2 linked regions of the Ovis aries genome follow. Each later gene encodes a partner of the first gene's protein in a complex. Links are inferred from orthologs where the notes say so. Each region holds a gene or a part of one and is shown on either strand. Other genes may lie near its edges.

Region 1 (15,245 bases):
AACTGCCAAGTTGTGTTCCATTGTATGGATATACAGTTTGTTTATTCACTTAACAAGGGTTTGGGTTGTTTCTAGCTTTTGGTGATCACAGACAAGTCACTTTGAACTGGACAACTTTGTCTTTTTAAATCAACTTTACTGAGAAATTTTACAAAATGTACTTTCTAAAATGACATAATTTGATGCATTTTAATGCAGGTTCCCTTGTAATTAACATGACATCAGGACATAGAACATTGGCTTCATCACAAATGTTCTCTTGGTTTTTTTTTTTTTTCCCAGTGTCTCCCACTTCCCCGTCCCTAACAACCACTAATTTGCTTTCACTCTAGAATAAATTTGCTATATTTGCAATCCCTATAGTTTTGTAGAAATGGAAACATACAGTAACAATTTTACTTTGCTTTTTTTGCTGAGCATGTTTTTGATTGATTCATGTTGCAAGTATGTTCATTCCTTTTATTACTGAATAGTATTTCATGACATGAATTTACCATGATTTGTTTATCCATTCATGTATTATTGGGCACTGGGTTGTTCCCAGTTTGGGGCCATCATGAGTAGAGTTGCTATGAACATTTATGTTCAAGCCTGTGGGTGGACATGTTGTCACTGCTCCTGGTTAAATATCAAGGAGTGGAACTGCTGCGAATGGTTAAGTACGCACGTGCAAGGGAGTGTGCTCAGTTGTTTCAACCGTGTCTGACTCTTTTTAACCCCATAGACTGTAGCCTGCCCAGCTCCTCTGTCCATGGGATTCTCTAGGCAAGAACACTGGAGTGGGTTGCCATGCCCTCCTCCAGGGGATTCTCCTGACCCAGGGATCAGACCAGCAGTCTTGCATCCCTGCACTGGCAGGTGGATTCTTTAACACTGGGGCCATGCATTTAATTTTTTAAGAAACTGCCAAACTCTTTTCCAAAGTGGTTACACTATTTTTATTTTATACTCCGACTAGCAATATGTGAAGGTTCCAGTTCTGGATGTTTGACAACACTTGATATTTAAAAATTTTAAGGTCTTTCAAATTTTAGCATTCTTATGGGTATGTAGTAATAACTCATTATGTTTTTAATTTGTGTCTATTTCCCTGATGACTAATGATGAGCATCTTTTCATGTTTTTATTGGCCTTTCATGTATCTTTCCTAAAATGTGTTCAATTGTGCCATCTATCCTTAATCAGGTTGTGTCTCTTACTATTTTCGAATTGGAGTTGGTTATATAATCTGGATACCAGTCTTTCCTCAGAATAATTTCATATATATTCCCACTGGGCTCAAGCCACACGGTTCTCTTTGCTCTTTCTTAAATGAGGCCATATCTGTTCTGAGTCTTTTAACTCTCTCTGTTCTCTCTGGAATTGCTGCTCTTCAGATACACACAGAACCTGCCTCCAAACCTCCCCCAGTCACAAATGGCCCTTTTTGGTGAGATCTTTCTTAACCATCCTATTTTAAACGGTAATACTCACGGCCTGACATTACCCCCTATTCTCTAGTTTTTTTTCTCCATAGCACATATCTATCCTATTTATTATTTACCTTTTTGTTTAAAGAAAAGTATTGACCTAGATGAGCCCCCAAGCATAAAAAACATGGAAGAATAACATATTAGAATAACATGGAAGAAAAACACCCATTTAGCGGATGACCTCCTCTTTCGGAGGCTGATACACTCAGGGATGGCAAACGGGAGCCTGCTGGGGGAAGAGGTTGTACTGACACCTCTCTCAAATACCCTAGGCAGATCGCCGAGCGCTTTCGGCTCCAGGAGATCCTGGCCAACTGGACCTCGTCCAGAACAAGAAAAAACTGAGTCCTGCTTGCCTCGAAAAAGAACTGTAGAATCTCGAGCAGCGGAGACATATGTAGAGCTCATCGGAACCATTAATTTTCTTCGCATAGGATGAAACAGGATGTCTCGTTCAAGGCCAAGCGGCTTAAGGACGCGGCCAAGACCCGCACTCAAGCTTCCGGCCCGGTCGGAGGAGCCTTGCCGCCACTCTCATAGGAAGTGGCGCACCGAGCCCCTGCTCCCCTTCGGGTCAGCGGACGCGACTCACGCCGGCGAAACACTCTGTGTAAGGAGGTAGCTGAGAACCTCCCTCCGACCCCGACCTGAAATGACACTGCAGGGTCGGGTAGGGCGAGGAAGGAACGCAGCTGCGGCAGATCTCCCGGAAGTTGAGCGCTTTGTTTCCGTGGGGAAGATCTTACGAGACGGACGGGGACGCGACGGTGAGTACCTGGCGCCACATCGCTGGCCGGGGCGGGCGGGGACTGGAGACCAGTGATTTTCCAGATGATACCTGTGATTTTCGGCGCCCTCGTTTATCGAGCGTTTGCTAAGGTCGGGTCCTGGGATGCAGCCCGGCAGTGATCGGCTCAGCCTCCCTTCGAGGGCGGACGATACAGCATTCTGATGAGCCTCAGACTCACCAAAGTTGTAACAGAGGAGCTCGGAGAATAGGAGACTAGTCCTGGGGGCGCCGGCAAATGGGCTCTTACTGGCCAGTCGAAGGGAGGGAGGATTAATTCAGAGTAACCGCCTGTCCGAGGGGGCGTGCTGGGTAGGGACTGGGGGTGGTGACAAGCTGGAAGGGCCAGTGCGGCTGAGGGGAAATGAGCGCTGTCTGCAGGGCTGCGCTAGGAAGCGGAAGAGGGAGGAAGGTCTCAGATCATAGTCTGGGACTCCGTGACATAAAGGGACTTGATAGCAGGGCAGGATTTGGTGTACGTTTTGAAAAGATCACTTTGACTCCCGGGTGGAAGTTGGATGATAGGAGGGAAGGAATTGTGAGGCGACTTCTAGGAGGTCACCGCTGTTGAGGAGAGAAGGTGGCCAACGGCAGTGGCAGAGTAGGTATGGGAGAGAATTGGACCCTTCAAGATGATACTTAAAAATTGACAAGAGTTTTGCATAAGATATGGGATTTGAGTGGAAGGTAAGTATCCAGCGATGGTTCGAAGTTTCTGACCTAAGTGAGTGAATTATATAAAACAAACCAAAACCATTTTTGACATTTGATAGGCCCCCTTTTCCCCCTACTGTAAAAACAAAAAACACAAAAAAATTGTTTCCTCCCTGGTTGTATGTACTCATTATCTTTTGTGTGCTCACTGTAGAAAATTCAGAACATGCAAAAATATTTTTTCTAGAAAACAAAATTGTCTGTAATTCTGCTACCCAAGATGGCCGTATTTTGGTGTGCTTCCTTTGTTTTTGTTTTCTGAATCAATTTTTTTTTTTTTTTGGTAGAATTGGGTATACATTTTATGTATATATATTTTTTCCATTGGATATTATCATGATAATAAAGATTGTGTGGCCCTGCTGTGCCAAGACACTATTCACAATTTTATTTTTCCAGATTGTAACAGAAAAAATCAGATGTAATTCCAGCAAGTCAAAGATAATATTTTGTTGTTTTTTCCAGTAGTTTTCTTTTTGTGTCCATTTTAAAAAACCCACATATTATGAACATTTTGTTTTATTTTCCAATCAGATGTTAAGTACTTAATGTTATTTATTACTATATTTACACATCCTTAGCTACTCTTCAAGACTACAGTTTTTAGTGGTTGGTCAGTAAAGCCACTGTAGTTGGGCCTGTTACTAGTTAGGTAGGTTTTCAACCTTTTACTCAGGATGATAAAAACATCTTATTACATAAATCTTCAGATTGCCAATTTATTCCTTCAGAAAAACGGTGGAAATAAAACCTCCTAGATAAAAGGATAAAGTGACCCTATATAAAATTGCTTCATCTAAATATCTCTGAGACTTTAATTGAAATTGTTTTAAAGATTATATTTTTGCAGTGCTTAGTATTTTCATTCAAAGATAGATTATGTCTCTCCAGTTATTTGTTGTTTATGCTGCTTTTATGTTTTTGTATATACCCTGTCCTTTTCTTGTTAAATTTATGTCTATAAAGGGTGTTACTATTTAAGAATTGTACCCTCTAGGCTTAAATTCCCATGTATGTAATGAATATCTGAGTTGTGTCATACTTTCTTCTATAAGATTGTTTTCTGCCTTATATTTATGTCTAGATTCTGTCAAAATATAAATAAAATGGTGAGATTAGAAAGCTAAAAAGACTAAGTTGGAGTGAGGTTTCCTTAATGCTGTAAGTACCCTGTGGTCTAAAAAGTGTTTGGTGCCCTGCTCCTAGTTGTTGAGAATCTCCCCCTCATCCAGAGCCTGCCTTTTCTGTACAACTAGGGGACCTGGTGTTGCCCTTGATCGTTTCCCAGGAAGGAAGCTAGAACAGCTTAGCAGGGTTAGGAAGACAGTCTGTCATCAGGCTGCCAGATGTTTTGGGGTGGATTTTTCAAGTTTAACAGTTCTACATCTTACTATTAAAGTTGTAATACTTTAATTGTGAGCAAGGATATTTGTTAGTGACTTACAGTTGTTAACTTTTGGTCTTTTGGTCTTGTGCAGTAGCATCCTGCTTATCTATGAAATGCAGTTAACACATCAGCTGGACCTATTTCCTGAATACAGGGTGACCCTTCTGTTATTTAAAGATGTAAAAAATGCTGCAGGCTTGAGAAAAAAGGCCATGGAAGGTGCCATTGATGGCTCATTAATAAATCCTACAGTGGTAAGTACTCATGGCAATGAGTGATTTTTCATGATGTTATGGGTTAGCCCAAAATTGTTATCTTCATGTAAAAGGACTTGTCTAACCTGTAGAGTGGATTCAGATTTGGCCAGCCTTCAGTTTAACAGTGAATAGAAACCAAGTGGGAGAAGGCAATGGCACCCCACTCCAGTACTCTTGCCTGGAAAATCCCATGGACGGAGGAGTCTGGAAGGCTCCAGTCCATGGGGTCACTGAGGGTCAGACAGGAATGAGCGACTTCACTTTCACTTTAAAAATGGCAACCCACTCCAGTGTTCTTGCCTGGAGAATCCCAGGGACGGGGGAGCCTGGTGGGCTGCCATCTGTGGGGTCACACAGAGTCGGACATGACTTAGCAGCAGCAGAAGCCAAGTGCTGAGCCCCGTCCTGACGTGAAAGGTGGTTTCCCTCTGATATGATGGCAGATGCCTAGATACCCATCTTGTGTGACCTAGAAAGCCTCTGTAAAGGAGGCATTGCACAGTGGTAGAATCACCAGGACTTAAGTCCCAGTTATGCCATTTATTATGACTTTGAGCATGTGGTAGCCTTTATTCAGTGCTTATTTGGTAAGTTCTTTATATTACTGCTAACTCACTTAATCTTCACAACAACTCTATGAAGTAGTGAGATGATTATCTGCTTCTAAAAGATAAAATGCTAAGGAATTTGCCCAGGTTCCCTTGGTGGTAAGTGGCAGAACTGAAATTCCAACCCATTCTTTGCCTTGGTTTCCTCATTTATTGCACATGAAAAATAATAAAAGATATCAAATAGGGTAGGTTTGAGTAGAATAGAAAATAAAGTTTAAATGTTGAGAATATGGCCTTTCCCATAATAATAGTCCTCAATAAGTTGTTTTAAAACTCTTTGTATCTTAATTGCCTGCAGCTGTAGAATTCTGTGATTTTTCTAAACACCTAGGCCCTTAAGATTTTGACAATTTTGAAAATATAGAAATTGTGATGAAGTAAAACAGCCTGATACTCGAGGGTACAGGGCATTGTTCTTCAGAGTGCTCCAGATTCTTTGTGTGTAATTCTTCCTGTTCTCTTTGGTAGATTGTCGATCCATTTCAGATAATTGTGGCCGCAAACAAAGCAGTTCACCTCTACAAACTGGGGAAAATGAAGACAAGAACTCTATCTACTGAAGTTATTTTCAATCTTTCCCCAAATAACAATGTAATTAATATGGAATGTATACTTTATTTATATCTTTTGATCTTGTCATGGTAGCCTGTGTGTGACTCAGTGTTGGGTTGGAGCCTGTTGCTGGTAACAAACCAAAATAACAGTGAAGAGTGAGTGCTGGACAGAGTTGAGGTTTAGCATTGCCGCCTACGAGACAAGTAAGCGTTGGAGTCACTCATGAAATTTAGCTAAAGTAATTGAGGATAGTTTTATTTGTCCTTCCTGACATACAGAGTTAGGAAAATGCTATTTAAATCTCATGATAAAAATTAGGCATGGGTATTTGTGTGTTACCATGCACATCTTTTATTCTCCCTATAAACTCTTTGAGGATAGAACCATGCCTTTTCCATAGACCAGAAATCTGCCGGATACCTAGACTAGCTCTTAACACATGCTCATACATGCAGTACATAGGAAGAGTTTGTGTTTGAGAGATTGATAGTAATCAAAGTTTTTGAGTTAAAAACATTCCACCTGGGCTTATTTTTTAAAAAACCAACTAATTTTGCTGACGAAGTTTAATTATTACTCATGGGGTCACAAAGAGTTGGACACGACTGAGCGATTGAACTCACTAAGTACTAACTACTAAACACAGTCAAGTACTGACATGGAGAGAAAGATTAGGAAACGTGTGGCATGGTTTAAAATGCAGATGTTTGAAAAATTTATAAAATGGGTAGTAATGGGATTCCCCAGTATCTTGGGGAAAATTACTGGGTGATTGTCTCTTTGAGATCACTGAAATAACTCAGGAGACTGCAGTTCATAAGCATGTGTTAAGCTTGCCCCTGTTCCAGTCTGGGGTCAGAAGTGTTCCCAAGCAAGGAAGATGAACAAGACAAGGTTCAAACGTCCTAAGATAATTGATATAGTGGAATAATAATGCAAATCTGTGGGAACAGAGAAGCAATTCATGCTATAAAGGAGGAAAGTGCTAAAGGAGTGACCTTTGAACTGGACCCTTGAAAGATGCTGGCAGCCCAGGTAGAGGACAAAGTGCAGGCACAGGCGAGAAAAGTAGGAAAGGACGGGAGCCCAGACAGCCCCGCTGGCTGGAGGGCAGGAGCGCGTGCCGAGTCACTGGGTCCATCCAGTTAAGTCCAGGCTGGATTCTGTGGGAATGAGGTGCAGCTTCGAGCGGGGAGTACTCTAGAGGCAGGGGTGGTAGAGATGAGGGAGGGACACTGCGAAACTGTAGGCAGAGAGAACCACTAGGCTATGAAAAATAAGAATCTGACCAGGAAAGGCTGCAAATGGGGAGAGGTTTCACATGTTGAGCTACTGATTTTATTGTCTTTTTCACCCCTTAGATTTCAGAGGCCTTGAAAAAATTTGGTATCTCAGCAAATGATACTTCAATTCTGATTGCTTATATTGAGGAGGGTGAAAAACAAATAAATCAAGAACACCTAATATCTCAGGTAGAAGGTCACCAGGTTCCCCTGGAAAATCTCCCTGAAATAACAAATATTACAGAAGTCAAAAAGGTTTGTACACCTGTATTTTTAGAAAGAGCATGATAGATGTGGAATAATACTGTTTCCTTATCACCAATGCTTCTATATTGTTTTCACTTTTAAGAAAGGTTAATATAGTTAAAAATTACTTGAAAAATGATAAGACATGCAAAGAAATGCAGATTTATGTAAGATATAATTAGAAACTTAGTTGGTAAAGATATTCTTTTAAAAAGGATAACTTTAGATATCAAGCTTACATTTGAAATATAAAATATAGTATGAAGTTAATGTCTAGATGTGTGCTTTTAAAATTGGTACAAATGTTTTGATGTTTAGAGAGTTATCACTATAACTGCAGTTGAAACTTTTGACATAAGTGATGAGTTGCTGTTTACTTTGCATACCTTAATCACATTGTGATTCCATCCTATTATCCCAATAATTGAGTAATAAATTAGGTCACATATACATTTTTGTATAATGAAAATTAGTAGTGCATGAATATGTCAGCATGTCATAATCTGTCTTTTATGCTTATAGGTATATAAACTATCTTCACAAGAAGAAAGTATTGGAACATTATTGGATGGTATCATTTGTAGAATGTCAACGAAAGATGTTTTGTGAAATGACAGAAATATTAAAAATTTTTCAGCTTTTATAAAAAACATTCATTGTTTTTCCTAGATCATAAAATCTGTTATGTTGTGTTGTATAAAGTTTTAAAACACAGAATAGTAACAAAGGGAAAAAAAACCACTCCTGGTCCTACCTTTTCATATTTTAAAAGATAATCACGGTGATTGTTGTTATTGTCTTCTGTTTCTGTCCAAATATATTTTATTTTTATATAATTGGAATAATTGCAAACATTTATTGAATGTCTACAATATACGAGGTTCTTATCTAAATGACTTTATATCCATCAGCTCATACTCTTGCACTTAATTCTGGCTACTCCAGCATCACCCGTTCCAAGCTTCCTGGTTCCAAGTTTTTGTATGCAAGAATTCATTTAATTATCACAACATCATATGAAGTAGATTACTCCCGTTAAAAGGTTGTACAAATAATAATGTGCGCAAGGTCGTACAGCTAAAAATCATGTTTTATAAATGGTTTGTTTTTTTTTTCATATTTTATCTTAAAATATGGTTGTGTCAGTCAAGATAGAGTAGGTTACAGGCTGTATGTTAATGTTTTGCTAACTTTGCTTGTTCTTAGTCTTGTCTATGCATGGGCAAACACTTCTTTTCTGAAATACTTGAAAGTAAATTGCAGACCTTGGGGCACTTCACCCTCTGTTGTATTTAGTTGTCATGTCTCTCTCAATTATTTTCTAACTGAAGGAGAATTGCTTTACAGAATTTTGTTGGTTTCTGTCTTATATCAACAGTCATGTCTCTTTTAAAGGCTCCTTTAATCTAGAACAATTTTTTTTTTAAAGGTGATGTTGACATTTTTTGAGGAGTGCCCCAGATGTCTTTCAGAATTTCGGAATGAGTTTGTTCGTGATTTGAATCAGTTTAAATATTTTGGAGAATGATACGTAGACTTTGTGTCCTTCCAGTTTTACATCACTGGGAGGCACATACCGTCACTTGGCCTCGTCACTGGTGGTACAGTTTGGTCGCTCTGTTAAGGTGGTACCCCAGACTTCTCCATTATGGAGGCATCTTTTCTCCTGAAGCCTAGGGAGAAGCCAAAGCTGCCCTACAGCTCAAAGTGCCTGTAGCCAGGATTAAAACTCCACGTGACCCAATTCGATGCTCCTAACGACTCCACACAGCCGTAACTATCGAACATGTTCTTTGTAAAAGTGAAACTTCACATAATGTAGTTCTATTTTTATATATTAGCACTGCTTTCAATTTTTCATTTTGCTTTTGCAAGCAAATCTCTGTACACATCTTTTTCTGTAGGATAGCTTCCCTGCAGTGCAATTACTGGGGAAGAGGACATGAATTTTTAATACCAGAAAAGTGCCACTTCGCAGTTGTAATAGCAGTGCATAAGTGTGCCAATCTCAGCAGACTCACCAACAGTGCCTTTAAACTTCTCAACATTTTCACCATTTCAAAATGTCAGACTACTGGTGAAGCTGAACTATGTTTATTTGTTATCAAGAGTTTTGAAAGGATTTATACCTGTAACTATATAGATTTTTTTTTAAACTCTATGAGCCTTTGGGTGAAGAAGGAAAAAGAAGTAATGCCATTTCCTGGGAAAAAAGTTTACATAAGGTCCACAAGCTTTTTTTCTTAAAAATGTTGGGCCAATTTAGGAATAATGTTCTCTTTCTTCTTAAATTAACCAGTTTGCTTCAGAGCCTAAACACTCCCCCAGCAAAAGCAACCAGTGATTATAGGGCCTTTGATGCTGGAAGAGAAGGGATGCAGTTTGCCTGGCTGCCCTCATCTGGCTCCTTGGTCAAGGGTTACAGGGTTAACAAGGGATACTAAGGCAAACAGCCAGCTGTCGCTAGGATAATGTGAGGGAAGGGGGCTCTGTCACCCAGGCAGTCGTTGCTCCCCATCTCCCCAGTCCTGGGAGCAAGGAAAGCTGCCACTGTAGTGGCAGAATCTTTAATCCCCTGCCCCTCTCCCCACCTCACGCTCGGGAAAACTACAAGAATGCTCCTAAGCACTGCGCCTCCTTTTTAGAAGGAGCCCTGGGGCTCACAGGCTTTTTCAGGCCACCTGCTGCAGTTCTCCTTTTCGCTTTTTCCTTTGACGACCTTTCTGCTTGTCTGGAAACCTGGAACCTGTGCTAGGGTTGCGGCTGCTTCTCTGCACCCGGTTTTGTTTTGCTGACTGCTGTGCTATCTGCACTCCGTGTTACAAAACTGAGTAGAGCACAACTCTCTAGGTGATTGGTCTCAGAATGAGCCAAGTTTGTACTGTTTTCATAATCCTCTGTGCCAGTTATCTGCCATTGTTCCCTCCAGCTCACTCTTCATCCTTCTCCACTCTTCTCTCTGCCCTGGAGGCTGACTTACCGTGTACACAGCAAGAGGTCCTCCCTTTCCCTTGGCTTCGGCCAGTGTGTGGAGTGGGGAGGCCAGCAGGAGAATGAGGCCAAAGGTATTTATTTTCCTGGCTCCTCGCTGCAAGGATCCCTAGGCTGGCTTTGGCCTTGGACCTCTCAGGGTGGTCCTTGCTACTCAACTTCTGGTTCAGGTTCCTGTCCCCCCACCCTCCTGCCTCACTTCAGGCCTCTTGAGCATTAACATACCTGGCTCCCCTTTACCCACCCACACCTTCATAATTAGGCCCTTTGGTGATCTGTATAAAATGAGCTTGGGTTATCCTAGTTTGAGCGTTGGGGCCTGATAACACCTCCCTTTTGCTAAAAGTTTAGAAGTATTTCTATAGAGCTGGAATCATTGTTCCAGTATTTCTGAACATCTTGCCAAGGAGTGACCTATCGGACCACTTTCTTTCCTCTTGAAACAATTTGCTGTTACTTCCTCTCACTCATGTTATGAGTGCTCAGTGGCATCCAGGGCACTGACCTGAGGCTGGCTTACTGGGAACCCTGATGAGAGATCAGGGGAGATGATGTTCTTTCCAGGACATTTTCCTCCTCTTTCTGAGACTCCAAAACATGACACCACTTGATTGTCTAACTTCCATTTCATTGACCCATTTCTGGGCTTAGCTGGTCTAAGAGGCAAGTGTTTTTCATAAATGCAAGCATGGGATTTCATTGACATGCTGCCCTCAAGTCCCACAACTCTCGGAATAACAGTGATTTCAAAAAGATAACTACCTATTATAATCAGGTTCCTACAGATAATAGAAAAATAAAATAATCTATCAGGTTACTAGTAACTGTTTAACTGTTAATAAGTTAACAGTTTTTAGCAAGTAACAAATTAACAGCAATGTAAGTGCTGGATGAGAAGTGCAAAGTCTTCAAAGGGAGGGAGCAGATACAAGATCCATCTGGTTGTCAGGAGTCAGAAATCTTGATGGAGGAGGTAGCACTGAACTGGACCTGAGCCTTAGTCACATACTGGATCTGGGTCAAGTATGACCTGAACATAGGGGCATGATGAGGCTTAGAGGTGAATCTTGCATCCCAGCAGACAGCTGTTTTTGTTGGCATACAGTGCTTTATACTAATTAATAACTCAAACACTTGTCAGATACCTGCCTTTTGGGGTCAGCACGTGGTACTGAAAAAGCAAAATGTTCAGGCCTTCGAGTCAAAACTGCCAAGGCTTGGGTGCCACTCTCCTGGGTAGGATCTCTCAGGTTTGTAAGCCTCGGTTTCACATTTGTAAAATGGAAGCAATATGAGCCTTAGCTCTTAGATGGTTGTGAATGTCAAATAGTACAGCACAGGAAAAGTGCTTTCTCACAGTGCCAGGCATCTAATATCTCCGCAAATAGCAGCTGTCTGCATGTGCCAGGCATAATACTGAGGCATGAAGTAAAACAAGACTCACTGCGGGTGGGCAAGTAACACTTAGGACAGCAGGTTGGCTGGGTAAACAAATGCGGTCTGTCCTTTCCATGGAACATTTTCAGCCATAAAAAGCAATGAAGTACTGATACCTGCTAGGACAGGTGAACTTTGAGAACCAAAGTGAAAGAAAGCAAACATAAAAGTTCATATATTGTGTGATTCCATTTAAATGAAACATCCAGAATAGGTAAATCCAAAGAGACAGCAGGCTAGTGGTTGCCAGGGGTGCAAGAGGTGGAAATGGAGTGACTGACTAAGGGGTTTCATTTTGGGGTGATGAAAATGCTTCAGAACAAGACAGAAGTGGTGATTATACAACATTCTGAATGTACTAAGAGCCACTGAGTTGTACAAATTTGAATGGTTAATTAAAAATAAGAGAATAACAAACCTGCCTTTCCTTCAGGAATTCACAATCTTCGATGGGTCTGTTTAGACTGACTCTCAAGAGTTGGCTGAAGTTCATGTGCAGCAGTGTAAATGGACCTAGGGAACATCATGCCAAGTGAAGACAGAGAAGGACAGATACAAATACCATACAAGACCGCTTGTATGTGGAATCTAAAAGAGGACACAGTGAACTCGTCCACAGGACAGAAGCAGAATCAGACTTGTGGTTGCTGTGTGGGAGAGGGAGGGAGTGGGAATTTGGAATTAGCAGATGCAAATTATTATACACAGAATGGATAAACAAGGTCCTGCTGTATAGTACAGGGAACTATATTCAATATCCTGTGATAAACCATAATGCAGAATATGAAAAAGAATGTATATATATAACTGAGTCACTTTGCTATGCAGCAGCAATTAACACACTATAAATCAACTGTCATTCAATAAATTTTTTTTAAAAAGGAGTTGGCTGAGGCAGAGACAGGTAGATTCTCAAGCCTCAGTTTCATCAGTTGAAAGCAGGGTCAAGAACCTGTAATCTGCTGAGACTTCCAACTTGTATCTCTTACACAGAGAATTACCCATAATTCCTCTATCCAGAGATAAATGCTGCCAATGTTTGGTGTAACCATTCAAGACATTTCTTTCTGCATGCTTGTGAATATAAATTATTACTGTTATATTTTTCAAAAATGAATGAAAACATAGTTTTATAATCTTTTATAGCTTGACAATTATATTTTGACAATTATTTTTCATATCAGTAAATCCTCATGATCATCATTCATGACTATGAGGAAGGTTAAAAAGCCTAAATGTAAACCAAGGTCACTGGGTTGAGGAAGGCACAGAAGTTGGTGAGAATACAGGAAAGAGAGGGGAGGGACAGACAGAACATCTGGCCCCTCAGCTTGACCATTAGGTTTCTGATTGGTTAACATTACAGACTCATTAGGGTTACTCAGCTATACTTTGGAGCCTTCTATTCTCTTTTGGTTCCTTGTTCAAATTTTGCTTAACATTGAAATGTTAAAAATGGCACCTCTGTGGTGATCTCTTTCACAAGTCTTGTCTCTGGAGCATCCTCCTAGTTGCTCTTGCCAGAAACCTAGCTATCACCTCTGACCCCTTCTTCATCCTCAAATTAGCATTGTCATTTCTGTTCCCAAAAGATATTTCCAAGGGGGCCAGTTGACCTCCATGGCCCCATTCTGGTCCAAGTTGCTGCTTTCTCTTGTAGGATCCCCACTAGCCTAGATGGCTCCTTTGTGAACAAAGAACAAGGCACCCCCTTCAATCTGACAACCTGCTGGACACACAGTTCAGTGGGCAGTGACACCTTTGAGCAAAATAAGAAAAAGATGCCTTTTCCTTTGGTCAGACTCAGCTCTGTGCCAGAGCTCGTGGATTTTAGTTCCCACAAGCCTTCCTTGACAAGGTGATCTTGTAAAGTGAGCACCTGCGTATCTGTATCCAGAGGCCCTTCTGCTTGGACCACTGCACTAGCCTCTGGGGGGCAGGGGGATATAGACTTCCATTCCAGGCCCTTTCAGTCCATTTTCCACAGGTCACCAGAATCACACACACATCACACAACTCACTGCTACCTCTGGTTGTTACGCCCCAGCTAAAAGAACAGCAGTGGGCTCCTGATGTTCTTCGAACAGAGCCCAAACTTCGTAAACTGGATGATATGCCCCGCTGCCCTCACCCAGCTCTGAAGGACCTTGTGTACTGAGCCAGTGGAACTGGACTCTGGCCTGTGATGACAGGGCACAGGGTGAGGAGCTAATGCTCCAGGGTCACAGCAGCTGTGCGGTGGGGCCAAGCATGGACATCAGAGGGCACCAAGGTGCCAGGTGAACTGCCATGCTGGGGGGGTGTAGGCCAGCCACAAGGGTGAGGACCCCTGAGCTGTTCCAAACCCTGTGTGACCCCTCCAGCCTAATTCCCCAAGAATGGGCTTCCTGCTCATCATGGCCCAGCCCCTTGAGCTTGGGCTTTATGATTAACAAATATTCAGAAGCCAGCCAATGAGGTGCCATCCAGGCTTGTGCCCCAGAAGTATAACAGGCCCTGCACAGTCTCTCCTGGATGCCAGTCGGATACTGAGGACAGAGGCCAGGCAGAGGCTGCCCTGGACACTCCAGGCTCTTGTGACAGCAGGTGAGAGGACATGGGTGGAAGGACAGTGCTCTCAGGTGTGGCCTGAGCTCCGGACTCGCCCCGGCCTTCAAGGCTGGACCACTTTTGGAGCTACGCTCTTATGCCACCTCAGCAGCCTGAGAACCTGCAATCAAGGGGGAAGGAACATTTGCTGTTTCCAAGTCTTTGTACTTGGAAACACAGGCTTCCACCAGTGTATGGGCCCTGAGAGAGGGACCAAAAGGACACATGGGTGGCTGCAGCATGGAGCACCAATGTACGGAGAAACTGAGACGAGGGCTAGGGAATGGGGAAAGACGGGGAGGGTGTTATTTCATTAAATCCTCTGAACGACTTCAGAAGGCAGATTCTTAGAGATTATATAACATGCCCAAGGTCATGCATGAAGCCACGATCAAATGCAGGTCTTTCGGACTCTACGCCTTCTCCCAGTGGCTGTGGCCTACTTCCTCTTGGGTAGAAGCAGAGAGACACATCTTTGCGCAGGGCCTTCCTGGTTCTGGTAAGTGGGCCACTCACATGGTTTCCTCTTTCTTCCCCAGGGCTGCTGGGCAAGCATAAGGGGACACCTAGGTCTCTCTTGAACTTTGGGATCCAGAGAATCAGAAGTCTCCTATGGCTCCTTATCACATCCGCAAATACCAGGAAAATGACCGCAAATGGGTCACAGACTTGTTCTCTGAGGCGATGGCCGAGCACATTCCTACCACCTTCTGCCACATCCTGAAGCTGCCCCAAACCCTTGTGCTCTTGCTTGGGGGACCCCTCGCCCTAATCCTAGTCTCTGGCTCCTGGGTCCTGGCCTTCGTGTCCAGCCTCGCCCTCCTTGCTGCCCTGAGGTTCCTTGCCGAATACCCCTGGAAGCAGTGTGTAGTCATGTCTTTGCACACAGACATGTCTGACATCACTAAATCTTACC
Region 2 (15,404 bases), on another chromosome or scaffold:
GTCAGTTCCTTGAAATGTTATTGTCCATAAACCTTGACATGTATTTTCATAACAGAAGCAGAAGCTAAAACATGTGGACACCACACAATTTAACCCAATGGGTATTTAAAAAGTATAAAGTAAGAATTCAGTTGCCAACTTACTGGATATCACACATTATTAAATGTCTAATTTCCATGATCTGAAACTGACTTCTCACCCAAGAAAAGGGATTCATTTCTATGCATTTATGTCTTTCTTTGATGAACACAGAAAAGCTTCCTCTTTGACAAAACTGTCCCAGGGCAAAAAACAAACGCTTTCCAAATTAGAGCACAAGTTCCTTAAATGTCAGTGTGTGGTACAATAAAATATGGTAGCAGTCTTTTAAATTTCATAAAAGCTAGTTAAGATGGTTTTTGCCGTTTTGCAGATGGTCCATCTGAATTAGTTCTGTTATCAGTGTTATTTTCATCTTCTGAATCATCTTCATCATCACCTTTTAAAACAAATATTTGTTGTATGACAATATGTTCAGTCATTGAAAGAAATATAGATAGCTAAAATGGTTGATAATTAGACCATTTCACTTCAGGGATTAATAAAACAATGCACATATCAAATCAGCAATATGTACAGTTAAAAAGACTGCAGGAATTATGATGCTTAAAACCTTTCCCATCTATCATTTTTCTTGGGAGATATAATTCATACACCATAAAATTCATTTTCAAAGTGTACAGATTATTGATTTAGATAGTCACTAGGTTATAAAACCATCACCACTAACTCTAGAATACATTTTATCTTCCAAGAAAGAAATCTCATACCAATTAGCAGTCACTTCCCCTTCCTGGGTCGGGAAGATCTGCTGAAGAAGGGTTAGGCTACCCACTCCAGTATTCCTGGGATTTCCTTGTGGCTCTGTTGGTAAAGAATCCACGTGCATTGCGGGAGACCTGGGTTCGATCCCTGGGTTGGGAAGATCCCCTGGAGAAGGGAAAGGGTACCCACTCCAGTATTCTGGCTTGGAGAATCCCATGGACTGTATAGTCCATGTGGTCCCCAAGAGTCAGACACAACTGAGTGACTTTCACTTTCACTTCCCATTCCCCTTAGCCCGTGGCGACCACTAATCTACTTTCCTCATTTAACTTATATGCAGAGTGTATCATGGGAAATGCTGGGCTGGATGAAGCATAAACTGGAATCAAGACTGCCAGGAGAAATATCAATGACCTCAGATATGCAGATGACACCACCCTTATAGCAGAAAGAGAAGAGGAACTAAAGAGCCTCTTGATGAAAGTGAAATAGGAGAGTGAAAAAGCTGGCTTAAAACTCAACATTCAAAAAATGAAGATCATGGCATCCAGTCCCATCACTCCATGACAAATAGATGAGGAAACAATGGAAAGTGAGACTTTAATTTCTTGGGCTCCAAAATCACTGCAGATGGTGACTTCAGCCATGAAATTAAAAGATGCTTGTTCCTTGGAAGGAAAGCTATGACAAACCTAGACAGCATATTAAAAAGCAGAGACATCACTTTGACAACAAAAGTCTATATAGTCAAAGCGATGGTTTTTTCAGTAGTCATGTATGGATATAAGAGTTATAAAGAAGGCTGAGTGTCAAAGAATTGATGCTTTTCAACTGTGGTGTTGGAGAAGACTCTTGAGAGTCCCTTGGCCTGCAAGGATATGAAACCAGTCAATCCTAAAGGAAATCAACCCTGAATATTCACTGGAAGGACTGATGCTAGGCTCCAATACTCTGGCCACCTGATGTGAAGAGCTGCTTCACTGGAAAAGACCCTGATGCTGGGAAAGATCGAGTGGAGGAGGAGAAGGGGACAACAGAGGATGAGATGGTTGGATGGCATCATTGACTCAATGGACATGAGTCTGACAAAACTCCAGGAGTTGGTGATGGACAGGGAGGCCTGGTGTGCTTTGGTCCAAGGAGTCGCAAAGAGTTGGACATGACTGAGCGACTGAACAACAACAAAAGTCTATTTTCTTACCCCTCAGTTTTGTCTGTTCTGGACATTTCATATAAATGAATCAAAATATATGGCCTTTTGTGTCTGCCTTCTTTCACTTATGCTTTCAAAGTTCATTTACATTGTATAGCATTTAACAGTACTTCATTCCCTTTTGTTGCTGAGGAATATTCTACCATATGGATACACATTTTGCATATCCACTCATAAGATGATGGATATTTGTGTTATTTCTACTTTTTAGCTATTATCAATAATGCAGCTATGAACACATGTGCATTTGTTTTTATGGGAACATGTTTCCAGCTGTCTTGGGAGAACTTGGAGTAGAACTTTAGGACTAGAACTGTTGGGTCGAATGATAATTTTACACTTAACTTTTCTGAGAACTACTGAAGTGTTTTCCAAAGAAGACACCCCATTTTACGTTTCCACCAGCAACGTATGAGGGCTCCAATTTCTTCACATCCTAGTCAAAATACATGTTACTGTTCTTTACAATTATAGCCTTCTTGGTGGGTATGACACGCTATGTCATTGTGGCTTTGATTTGCCTTTCTCTAAAAGCCAGTGATGTTCAGCATCTTTTCATGTGCTTACTGGCCATTTGTGTATCTTATTTGGTCAAGTTTTCCGCACGCCTGGCAACTGGATTGTCTTTTTTGGTCATTATGATGATTTTTTTTTTCAACTGAAGTATAACTGACCAACAACACTGTTAGTACCAGGTTTATAACACCATGACTCAGTATTCCTATACAGAAAAAATGATCACCATTTGTCATTTTAGTATTGCATTCTATCACTTTTGTAATATTTACATTTAAAAATTTTTTTACTTGTTAATTGATATGATTCATATAAGATGAAATTCATCATTTTAATTGCTATCATTTTTTTTTTTCTGGGCTGCACCACAGGGCACGAGGGATCTTAGTTCCCCAATCAGGGATCAAACCTGTGCTTCCCGCAGTGGAAGCATATAGTCTTATCAGTGGAGCGCCAGTGAAGTCCCTCTACCATTTCAACAAAGAAAATTCAAACTGAAACTCCTTGGGGACTTGATTAAACATACAAAAGCATGTCCTTATATATGAAGCTATTAATGACCCATTATTAGCAGAAAAAGTAGAAGTTATTTTTCCAGCAAGCCATTTTTTAAATGGCTCCATCTGTACCTGTCCTTATTCCAATGATAGTATTTTCAACGGTTTAGAGAGGATCTTTTGGAGCCAAGAACCAGGACTTCATGCTGATGGAAACAATCTACTGTCTGAAATTCACATAATATTCTGAGTTGGTTCTATCATATTATCTGGCACTATCAAGATGTAAACAAGATGGAAAGAAAAGGAAAGTACAGTACAGTTTAAGCTCCTCTACAGAGGAGTTACACCTTCATGATCACAGCCTTGTCATGGTGAAGGGGCTTGTGTTATTCAATGAAGCTGCAAGCCATGCTGCGCAGTGCCACCCAAGATGGATGCGTCATAGTGAAGAATTCTGATAAAACATGGTCCACTGGAGAAGGAAATGCCAATCCACTCCAGTATTCTTGCCTAGAGAACCCCATGGACAACATGAAAAGGCAAAAAGATGACGCTAGAAGATGAGCCCCCAGGTTGGAAGGTGTCCAATATGCTACTGGGGAAGAGCAGAGGGCAATTACTAATAACCCCAGAAAAATGAAGCAGCTGGGGTAAAGCAGGAATGATGCTCAGTCATGGATGTGTCTGGTGGTGAAAGTAAAGTCTGATGTTGTAAAGAACAATATTGCATAGAAACCAAGAATGTTTGGAAGGTAAACTGGACACAGTCAAGAAGGAAATGATAGGAGTGAACATCAACATCTTAGGAATCAGTGAACTAAGATGGACAGGAATGGGCGAATTTAATTCAGATAACCATTGTATCTACTACAGTGGTCAAGAATCCTTTGGAAAGAAATGAAGTAGCCCTCATGGTCAACAAAAGAGTCTGAAATACAGTACTTGGGTGCAATCTCAAAAACGAAAGAATGATCTCGGTTCGTTTCCAAGGCAAACCAGTCAACATCACGGTAATCCAAGTCGATGTCTCAACCACTGATGCTGAAGAAACTAAAGTTAACTGGTTGTATGAAGACCTACAACTTCTAGAACTAATACCAAAAATGATGTCCTTTTCATCATAGGGGACTGGAATGCAAAAGCAGGAAGTCAAGAGATACCTGGAGAAACAGGTAAGTTTGGCCTTGGAGTACAAAAATGAAGCAGGGCAAAGGTTAAGAGTATTGTCAAGAGAACACGCTGGTCGTAGCAAACGCCTTTTTCCAATGACCCAAGAGACGCCTCTACACATGGACATCACTATCTGGTCAATACTGAAATCAGACTGATTATGTTCTTTGCAACTTAAGATGGAGAAGTTCCACATAGTCATGATCTGGAGCTGACTGTGGCTCATATCATGAACTCCTTATTATAAAATTCATGTTTAAATGGAAGAAAGTAGGGGAAAATCACTAGGCCATTCAAGTATGACCTAAATAAAATCCCTTATGATTATACAGTGGAGGTGACAAATAGATTCAGGGAATTAGATTTGCAGACAGAGTGCCTGAAGAACTATGGATGGAGGTTTGTAACACTGTGCAGTAGGCAGTGACCAAAACCAATCCAAAGTAAAAGAAATGCAAGAAGGTAAATTGGTTGTCCAAGGAGGCTTTACAAAGAGCTGAGGAAAGAAGAGAGGTGAAAAGCAAGGGAGAAAGAGAAAGATATACCCTTCTGAATGCAGAGTTCCAAAGAATATTAAGGAGAGATAAGAAGGCCTTCTTAATGAACAATGCAAAGAAACAGAAAATAATAGAATGGGAAAGACAGATCTCTTCAAGAAAATTGGAGACACCAAGGGAACATTTCATGCAAAGACAGGCATGATAAAAGGACAGAAATGGTAAGGACCTAACAGAAGCAGAAGAAATTAAGAGGTGGCAAGACTACACAGAAGAACTATACAAGAAGTCTTAATGACACGGATAACCACAATGGTGTGGTCACTCACCTAGAGCTGGATATCCTGGAGTCTGAAGTCAAGTGGACCTTAGGACTATGAACAAACCTAATGGAGGTGATAGAACTCCAGCTGAGCTATTTAGAATCTTAAAAGATGATGCTGTTTGATATGTCAGCAAATTTGGAAAACTCAGCAGCGGCCAGAGGACTGGAAAAGGTCAGTTTTTATTCCAATCCCCAAACCGTATGCAGGTCAAGAAACAACAGTTAGAACCAGGCAGGAAACAACAAACTTGTTCAAAATTGGGAAAGGAGTACATCAAAGCTGTATATTGTCACTCTGCTTATTCCAAGCTGGATGAAGCACAAGCTGGAATCAAGAGTGCCAGGAGAAGTATCAAAAACATCAGATACACAGATAATACCACCTTAATGGCAGAAAGTGAAGAGCAACTAAAGAACCTCTTGATGAAGCTGAAAGAGGAGAGTGAAGAAGCTGGCTTAAAACTCAACATTCAAAGACAAAGAAGATGGCACCCGGTCCCATCACTTCATGACAAATAGAAGGGGAAAAAGTGGAAGCAGTGACAGATTTTATTTTCTTGGGCTCCAAAATCACTGCAGACAGTGACTGTAGCCACGAAATTAAAAGACACTTGATCCTTGGAAGGAAAGCTATGACAAACCTAGACAGTGTATTAAAAGCAGAGACATCACTCTGACGACAAAGGTCTGTATAGTCAAAGCTATGGTTTTTTCAGTAGTCATGTACAGATGTGAGAGTTGGTCCATAAAGAAGGCTGAGTGCTGAAGAATTGATGCTTTTGAACTGTGGTACTGGAGAAGACTCTTGAGGGTCCCTTGGAAGGCAAGGAGATGAAATGTTAATCCTAAAGGAAATCAACCCTGAATATTCATTGGGTGGACTGATGCTGAAGCTGAAGCTCCAATAATTTGGCCATCTGAGGCAAAGAGCTGACTCACTGGAAAAGACTGATGCTAGGAAAGATTGAGGGCAGATGGAGAAGGGGGAGACAAAGGATGAGATGGCTGGATGGCACTGCAGTTTAAATGTACCTGAATTTGAGCAAGCTCTGGGAGACAGAGAAGGACAGAGGAGCCTGGTGTGCTACAGTCCATGGAGTTGCAGAGTTGGACACAACTGAGCGACTGAACCTCAACAACAACAATAGGGGAAGTAAGCCCTGATTCCAATATTTAGTTCTTAGGTTCTTCAGCTCAGGGTATTCAAGACAAGACTTAAGAATACAGTTAAAATTTCCATTTCTGCTTTCAAACTGCACCTACCACACTGGGAAATGAAAGGAGTCCCTGACAGTGAAGCCTTGTTCATCTGAAATCTATTCCAATCTTCAGAACCTGTTTCTATTCTGTAATAGATGGCGGTCTTCCAAACATATTTGTAAGTTCACGCCTGGGAAAATTCCTTTCCATCCTTCTAAGCCCAGCTTAGAAGTCATGCTCTTTCTGAAGCCTTCTTGGGTTCTCTAGGTTTGCAATAGTTACAAAGAAGCCTAGGGTCATTCCTTCTACTCTTTAATAAGAATGTTTGTCTGTCTAACCTCCCACAGAGTTCCACAAGAACAGGAACTGAGTCGCATTCACGTCATTCTTTCTCCAGAGTTCAGCCCAGTGACTGGCACAGGGCCGTAGGCGTTCAGTACGTTTTTTGTGTGACATAAATGAAAAGAGAATCGTCAAAAGCAGTCCTGCTAAACGAGTCCAGGTACAGCCCAAATTTCTCCGGGCGCCCCTGCCCGCCCTCCTGTCACTCGCTGAACCGTCTCAAAGCTCACCGTCCAAGGCCTCGTCGGGAGCCGCCGTCCCCCGGTCCTGTGCTTCCGGCTGTACCTGAGAGCCGAAGAGCTCAGTCACCAGCTCCCTCATCTGAGCCACACCGGACAACAAGCTCTGGAAAGGGTCGGTGACGCCCGGCGCCTCACAAGGCACCCGCAGCTGCTGTCGCTGCCCTTCCAGTCCGACGTACTCGCCCAACAGCTCCATAGCGACCGCTACGCTTCAGGAGCGCGCCACAGTGAGTCGCCACCGGAAACGGAAACCAGCCCGCCGCGGGCGCAGGCGCGGAGAAGGGAGAGGCCTGACTTCCGTTTGTCGGAAGTCGCTCCTCCCCCTTCCTTCGCTCCCTGTCTTTGGGATTGGTGTCTGGCACCGAGGCCCCGCCTCCTCCGGCCCCGCCCCTCGCGGACGCTTTTCCCGCCTCCGCCGGGGCCGGTCGGCGGTCCTGGTGACAGTTGAGGATGGCTGGAGCTGAGGAGCCAGCTGGGCGACAGTCGGAGTTGGAGCCCGTGGTATCGTTGGTCGATGTACTGGAGGAGGACGAGGAGCTGGAGAATGAGGCTTGCGCCGTCCTGGGCGGCAGTGACTCGGAGAAGTGCTCCTACTCGCAGGTGGGCGCGCGGCTCGGCCCTCGCCTCCGCTGAACCTCCCTTTCCCCACCGCCTTACCCTCTCTCTTCCCGCCGGCCGCGGCCGGCCCCCTGTGGTGGTCCAGCGCAGCTGTTGGTCGTAGGCTTCCCCATCCCAGGCCCAGGTGCCCTTTTACACTTAGTCTTCTGAGCCCCTTCTAACCTGTGGCCAGCAGGACGCCCCTCCTTTCTCGATTTTCCTCTGTCAGGCCCCCGACGTTTCTACGGTTTTGGCCCCAGAGCAGCTGCTCTTTCCTTCCTTCCTCGTCTCTTCTCTGTGCCCCGGCCGCTTTTCACCAAACCAACCCCGTGACCTTTCACATCCTGAGTATCTTTGTCCATACTTTTCCCATCCTCAGAGTATTTGCTGGGTACTAAACGGAAGAGTCAAATAATTAAAGGAGAGAGCTCTGGGTTTGAAAATCTCTCCGCGTAGGCTGGACTCCTGGACAGCTGGTTCCTCTGCAGTTTAGTTTGACAGGTGCTAGCTGGTTTTTTTTTTTGGCGAGAGGAAGCAAGTACCACGTCTCTCTGCAGTCGGCCCTCCAGGGGCATAGACCGGAACCCGAACAGCTGGTGGCACTGGCAAAGGAAAGGAGGGGAGGAGAGATGGCATTCGGAAGATGGTGGGAACAAGGACTGGAGGGGGTGTGACGTAGTGTTTGGTGACTCATTCTATGTTTCTAGGTTCAAAAATGGAGAAAGGTGGTAGAAGAAAACTAATGAGAGATGGTACTTGATAGGAAGAAGGTTATCTTCCAGGCAGGTGGAGTGGAACATTGCAGGATGGGGAGAGAGACATGGGGTCTTTACGTGGTGTTGCTTGAGATCACAATACCAGTTGTTATCAATGACCAGTTGAGTTTACACTGCAAAGTGGTTAGATTTTTTTTTTTTTAATACACCTGGCTTCAGAGGTATTTAATGTTGGCTGATATTTTAAAACCTTTGGTCGCCACTGGAACAACTTTTTCTCTGTTTGCCTTTTTTAAAAAAGCCTGTAAGTTATTTTTGAAACGTAGTTAGATTTTTAAAACAGACTTCCTTAAAAAATTTTTTTGTATTGTTGTAAAATATGTGGAAAAGTGCAGAAACCATGTATAAGTCTTGGGAAAGCAAAACTGAAAACACCTGCAGGTACATACCACACAGATCAAGAAATAGAACATTACCAGCATCACAGAAGCTTTCCTGGGACTCCCTTCTTCTCAGAAGATGGCAGCCATTATCAGGATTTGCTTTTCTCTCGACTTTTTATTTTGAAATGTTTAAAGTCTACAGTTAAAATGAAAAAATAATATTATGAACACCTGTGTACCTTCACATATATTCACTTTTTAATATTTTACCACATTTGTTTTATCTTTTACTTCTTCACTGTAATATACTTTGTTTTTGTTTCCTGAACCAGTTGAAAATAAATTTCAGACCATGACACTTCAACTCTAAATATGTCAGCATACATCTTAAAATCAAAGGGATTCATTTAATGCACTGGTTTTCTCTTTGGTGGAATCACAAGCATTTTCCAAAATTAAAGTATGATTATTCCTTACATAAGCTTACACACATTCTCCTGTATTTTCATGTGTTAAAATAGTTAAGCAGACCGGTTTATTCACAGCTGACTAAAAATGTTAACTTCTATCACTTTGAGAAAAAGTTATATGAAACGTGTATGAAACCTGCAACAGTGTTTTGGTATTCTATTGTATATGCTTTTTTATTAGTCTCAGTGGCTTTTACAGGAAGATCTTGACCCCAGATCATCTGATTTCAGTTATTTCTCAGATCATAGTGTGGGCATTAGGTTGCTCTGCCAGTGTTTCATCAGTTTCCGGTCTTTTTCCATTTTGGGGCTGTCTTTAGGGTTCAGTAAAGAGACAAGCACTGTATGCCTGCAGTACCTGCACTCCAGAGGGAGAAGAACCGGCAGGAATTTGCCTGGCTTGCAGTTACGAATGTCATGGAAGTCATAAACTATTTGAGCTGTACACGAAAAGGTAAACTGGTCAGAGATTGATGCTGGATGCTTTTCAAATGTTTAGATTCTTTTCCAGTTGCACTTTTTTTCTTAATCATGTTTTTGCATTCAAAGTAGTTGTGCCCTGGTAAAATTTAATGCAACTGTTTTATATAATGTAATCGGAAAGAACAGTTTTTCCAGGGGACCTTTTAAAATATAATTATGAGGCAAACTCAGACTACTCCTGCTATCCTTCCACTGTTTTATGTGTGTGTGTGAGATACAGATATTTGTCTTTATGCATGTTAATTTCTTGGAGAAGGAAATGGCAATCCACTCCAGTATTCTTATCTGGAGAATTCCATGGACAGGGGAGCCTGGTGGGCTACGGTCCGTGGGATCACAAAGAGTCAGACATGACTGGGCACACAGCACACACATGTTAATTTATAGAATTATTAAATCTTTTATTGTAATATGCTTGGGAAAATTGCGGATTGGATACATGAACAACAACCAAGTCCAATTTTTAGATCCTAGAAGCTAATTGAAAGGGAAGAGGCTATGATATGAATGTAGTCTTTAGACTTAGAAGAAAAATTAAAATTGGCTCTTCCTCCTTTCTTTCAGAAATTTTCGTTGTGATTGTGGAAACAGCAAGTTTAAAAATTTGGAATGCAAATTGTTTCCTGTAAGTAACCACAGTAAACGATAAATGCATAGAAAGTAGCTAAGATTTGTATTTGTCCTAGGGGATAAAACCAAGAATTTTCAAAAAGGAAGTTCTATGCTTCTTTGCCAATGGGCAAATCAATGTTAGACTGTACCCCAGTTTTTTATTTGTTGGAAAGCTAAGTAACCTGTTCAGAGCCTACCTATAGATTGTAATTAATATGAAAGGTTTTGGGGGTAGTGTTCTAAAGTGATTCAGGTTCAGTTGTGTTGATTGTGCTCATGCTCTAAGGCTTTTTAAAGAAAAGGGTATGACTTTTAAAACAATAAATAAAACTGGGCAATAATGAGCATGGGCTTTTGCAAAAGTTTTTCACTGCTTTTTGGATAATAAAGACTATCTTCTACAATAACTTAAGTGAAATACCAAAAATGAAACAGAAAATAAGGGACTTTACAGTGTGTGAAGTCGCTCAGTCGTATCCGACTCTTTGTGACCCCATGGACTGTAGGCTTCTCCGTCCATGGGATTTTCCAGGCAAGAATACTGGAGTGGGATGCCATTTCCTTCTCCAGAGGATCTTACCCACACAGGGATTGAACCTGGGTCTCCCGCATTGTAAGCAGATGCTTTACCGTCTGAGCCACCAGGGAGGTCACTTTACAGTATTCAGTCCTAATTGCTAAAGTTGTCATGCTCTTTCCCTCCTTCAAAGATTATTTTTAGATAACTTCTTTGCCTACTTTTCAGCTCCTAGTAATTTGGGGGCTTTGACTATCATAGCTGGGCATTAAGAAATATTTTGAAATTCTAGACCAGTGTCAGCTTCCATAGGTTGATAGTTAATATTTATGATTCATTCTCCCCCGATTGGTACAAAGAAGGTATAGAAAATAAATTTTATTTTTCCCTTGTATCCTGGAGAAAGTATTACTTATAAAGTAATAAATTTTTTCCTTTGTACTTTGAAGACTAGCTTCCAGGGGAGGGAGGGGGTACAGATATTTAGTGCACAAATTTATTGAATGCATAAATTCCATGATGCATGAAATTATAAAGTTAGGCCATGTTTTATATTGAAATTAATATCTTTCAGGACAAAGCAAAAATAAATTCTGGCAATAAGTACAATGACAACTTTTTTGGATTGTACTGCATTTGCAAGAGACCTTACCCTGATCCTGAAGATGAGGTAAGAGATTTGGAGGTCAGCACCAGGACTGTGTCATCTCCAGCCTTCACTTCCCAGCCTCTTGTCATATTTGGCCCTTTAGCTGTTCAGCAGGGATTTGGGGATTGTGAAAGTATTCTAGATTTATCCCTTCTTATGACTCTGACCTGAAGCTACAAGTAGTACAGAGCCCAACTATTTTTCTCTTTCTTACATCATGAGAAATTCTGGACAGGACTTTATCAAGGCCAGAACTTTTTTCCTTCTCCCCTCTCTTTGCCTGTTTGCTCCTTTTCTCTGAATAATTTCCAGAAAATGACCTTCAACTTCTCGCATTCCTGCAGGGAAAGAAAATAGGGTGCACAAACTGGATTCTCTTGAAAACTTCAATTAGAGGTGTATGCAAAATTTTAAAAGAATTGTTGTTCTTCCTCATTCCTGTACCTTCTTACCTCCCAGACATAACCACTGTTAACACTTTTGGTGTATATATTTTTAGACCTTTTTCTGTGCACATATAAGTGAGTGAATGTGTGCTTTAATTTCTAGTTTCCTTTTCTTTTGACAAAGGCAAAATTCTGTAATTCACTGTGCAACTTGCTACGATTCATATTACCTCCCTGGGTTTATGTGTGAAATGAAAATATACTACTTATTCATAAAGTTTTGTGGGAATCAGATAGTAAGTAACTGATATGAAAGTTTTGATAATTACTCACAAAGTGCTTATCTCAGTGTAATCCTTTTATAACCCCAGTTCATGGGGAAAGAACTTCTTTGACCCTTTGAATTGCTGTTTCTCCCTGTCTCCTTGACTTTTTGCATGTGGTTAGTGACCCACTCCAGTGTTCTTGCCTGGAGAATCCCAGGGATGGTGGAGCCTGGTGGGCTGCTGTCTGTGGGGTCGCACAGAGTTGGACACGACTGAAGTGACTTAGCAGCAACAGCAGTGGCCTTACAGAATTGGTAGAGAATTATTTAATATCTGATTCTAATGTGTGCCAGATTTACTTTGAAATTCCAGAGTTCATTGTCAGTCAGTTCAGTCGCTAAGTCATGTCTGACTCTTTGCAACCCCATGGACTTCAGTACAGCGGGCTTCCCTGGAGAAGGGAATGGCTGTGTTCTCGTCTTGAGAACCCCATGAATTCACTGTAACCATTAACAAACAAATTGCTTTTCTATGTTAGATTCCAGATGAGATGATCCAGTGTATAGTCTGTGAAGACTGGTTCCATGGAAGGGTAAGGAGAGCTTTGACCTTTTAAACCCATTGTCTTTACAAAAAAGAAAAGATCTTGTCTTTTTTTTTTTTTTTTTTTTGGCTGAGTCTGATCTTAGTTGTGGCATATGGAATCTAGTTTCCTAATCAGGGACTGAACTGAAGCCCTTGGCATTGGAAACACAGAGTCTTAGCCACTGGGTCACCAGGGAAGTCCCAAAAAGATCTTGTCTTTTGGAATTAAATTATATTTCACATTATCACTGCTCTTCTAAAAAATACTACAGATATGATCAATGTACTGTTGCAATATTTTATAAAATAATGAACTTTTTGGACAACTTGGTGATCACAAGGAAAATAACTTGGTTTTCTGTGTTCACAGCATCTTGGCGCCATTCCTCCTGAGAGTGGGGATTTCCAAGAGATGGTGTGCCAGGCTTGTATGAAGCGCTGTTCTTTCTTGTGGGCTTATGCTGCACAGCTGGCAGGTAAGAGTCTCTGTGGAGTTGGCATGCCTCCAACCTGGGCCACAATACAAATCAGTACAATTTGTTCAGTATCTAAGTTTTAGCTACTATGTTTTTCACTGTGTACTTTTACTTTATTTTATGGGGGGAATGGCTAACAAACAATGCTGTGATAGTTTCAGGTAAACAGCAAAGGGACTCAGCCATGCATATACATGTGTCCATTCTTCCCCAAACTCTCCTCCCATCCAGGCTGCCACATAACGTTGGACAGAGTTCCATTTTTAAGAGACTCTGTGGTGTAGAAAAAAGTACAAGATCTGTTCCTTCTCCACAAGGTGCTTATAGATAGATTGGGAGACTGCCAAGAACCAATTTGTACTTTAATGGCATGATGCAGAATATGGATGAGACCAGAACTGGAGAAAATGGAGAAAGCAGTTTTTAAGGGGATTTTGGAAGATAACAGAACCCAAACAAGTTGTTCTTAAATATAAAACATGCTATTGGTCGAGGAGGAGGTGGTGACAGTTTGTCATCTAATGCTTTTACTATACTTAAGAAATTGACCCCAAACCACTAATTAGTAATGAATGTTCTTAAGTATGAAATATTTTCAGTTCAGTTCAGTCGCTCAGTCGTGTCCGACTCTTTGCGACCCCATGAATTGCAGCACGCCAGGCCTCCCTGTCCATCACCAACTCCCGGAGTTCACCCAGACTCAGGTCCATCGAGTCGTGATGCCATCCAGCCATCTCATCCTCGGTTGTCCCCTTCTCCTCCTGCCCCCAATCCCTGCCAGCATCAGAGTCTTTTCCAGTGAGTCAACTCTTCACATGAGGTGGCCAAAGTACTGAAATACTTTATTTTACTCTTAATGTTATATGTGTTCATTTTTTAAATGGTAGTAATTCATAGTATCTGTTCTGGCCTCATAATTTCTTGCCCTTCTCACCTTTAGCGAACACTTCACCATACAAACCTCGAGCAGCATCCTATGTTTTTGTTTTGTCTCCAAGTTCTTATGCTTGGTGTGTCCTCTTTCTGTTCATATGCTTTGTATGTGTGTTTTTTAAAAAAATATATTTATTTTTAATTGAAGGATAATTACTTTATAATTACCGTGTTGGTTTCTACCATACATCAGCACAAATCAACCTGTTCATATCCTTTTCAATTACGTCTCACTTTCGGCTGGACCTGAATCTTTTTCTCATTCACTGGATTTTCTTAACCCTTCCCCTCTGCCCCTTCTTCATTTCCTTCCCTGTCAGCAGATGGCCTCATTTCCTAATAAACTGAAAAGCCATCCTCCAGTGTGAGTTCCCTTGTCATTTCTCTGCTCTCTGTCATTTCTGTCTCTGCAAGCGTCCTTTCTAATTTCCTCCTTGCATAAAGAAACCTGTTGTTTTTGCAAAACTACCCTTCTCCTGTGTTTGCAGCTAAATCTCTTCCTATTGCCTCTTGCTTCTTTGGTGTCCCTGGGTCTTTAACATCTATAGTATTTTCCTTTCTCATTTACATATAAAATGTTTAAGGTAGTGATTGATATATTTTTTTAGCTCTTTTTTCCAGATGGTTTTTTTTTTTTCTGTTCTTGGTTCACATTTTGTTTTTTACTAGAGTGTAATTACTTGACAATGTTGTGTTAATTTCTGCTGTACAGTGAAGTGAATCAGCTCTGAGAGGCTCTACAATGTCTTGCACATGCATGCGTACTCAGTTGCCCAGACATGTCCAACTCTTCGTGACCCCACAGACTATAGCCTGCCAGGCTTTGTTCATGGGCTTTTCCAGGCAAGAATATTGGAGTGGGTTGCCAGTTCCTCCTCCAGGGCATCTTCCTGACCCAGGGATTGAATCTGCATCTCCTGCATCTCGTGCATTGGCAGATTCTCCACCACTGAGCCACATATATCCCTTCCCTCTTGAACCCACCCTTCCCACCAGTGATGGATATTTTTAAATTTTCTGTTATTTGACACTTTAGAATAGGCAGGCACAACCTAAAAAAGTGTTATTTCCTTTCTCATTATTCCAGAGATTAAGGTTAACTCTCTCCTTTTCCAGATTCTGAAGTATTTTTTAATCAAACTAAGTGATTTCATTGTCTCACTGGTGTGGATATGTGTGTGTATGTGTGTTTTCATTGAACCTACAGTAACCAAAGTAACTACTGAAGATGATGGGTTGGTGCTGAATGTTGATGGAGTAGGTGATCAAGAAGTTATCAAAACTGAAAATGGAGCTCATCAAGATAATGCCCTTGAAGAGGATGTTCCAGAACATGGAAAGGCTGTTGTGAAGGAAGTTAAAGCAGAGCAGACAAACGAACCGTGTACCAGTTCTAGTTCTGAATCTGATCTCCAGGTAACAAAATGAAATCTGAGCTGTAAAATAAAACTTAAGCAAAATTAATTCTGTAAGCTATGTAGCTTTGGATTTCAGTTGTACCTTTTGCCTAAAAGAAATCCTT

Evidence for each region.
Region 2: TPRKB (region 1) and GON7 share a complex: the UniProt entries of both Homo sapiens proteins name them as parts of the EKC/KEOPS complex. The link is inferred for Ovis aries from reciprocal best matches to the Homo sapiens genes TPRKB and GON7.

The regions. Positions count from the first base shown.
Region 1 is NC_056056.1:95,589,424-95,604,668, reverse strand, and holds TPRKB (EKC/KEOPS complex subunit TPRKB), read left to right. Parts: upstream 1-2,213; 5' UTR 2,214-2,351; exon of another isoform or gene 2,352-2,946; intron 2,947-4,451; exon of another isoform or gene 4,452-4,454; 5' UTR 4,455-4,473; coding exon 4,474-4,614; exon of another isoform or gene 4,615-5,696; coding exon 5,697-5,819; exon of another isoform or gene 5,820-7,144; coding exon 7,145-7,321; exon of another isoform or gene 7,322-7,834; coding exon 7,835-7,921; 3' UTR 7,922-8,154; downstream 8,155-15,245. Other genes in the region: NAT8 (N-acetyltransferase 8), read left to right, coding at 14,942-15,245. UniProt on the Homo sapiens protein: Component of the EKC/KEOPS complex that is required for the formation of a threonylcarbamoyl group on adenosine at position 37 (t(6)A37) in tRNAs that read codons beginning with adenine.
Region 2 is NC_056071.1:55,644,680-55,660,083, forward strand, and holds the start of GON7 (EKC/KEOPS complex subunit GON7), read right to left. Parts: upstream 7,063-15,404; 5' UTR 7,006-7,062; coding exon 6,798-7,005; intron 479-6,797; coding exon 387-478; 3' UTR 1-386. Other genes in the region: putative E3 ubiquitin-protein ligase UBR7, read left to right, coding at 7,260-7,409, 9,296-9,429, 10,023-10,083, 11,162-11,257, 12,427-12,480, 12,844-12,949, 15,090-15,298. UniProt on the Homo sapiens protein: Component of the EKC/KEOPS complex that is required for the formation of a threonylcarbamoyl group on adenosine at position 37 (t(6)A37) in tRNAs that read codons beginning with adenine.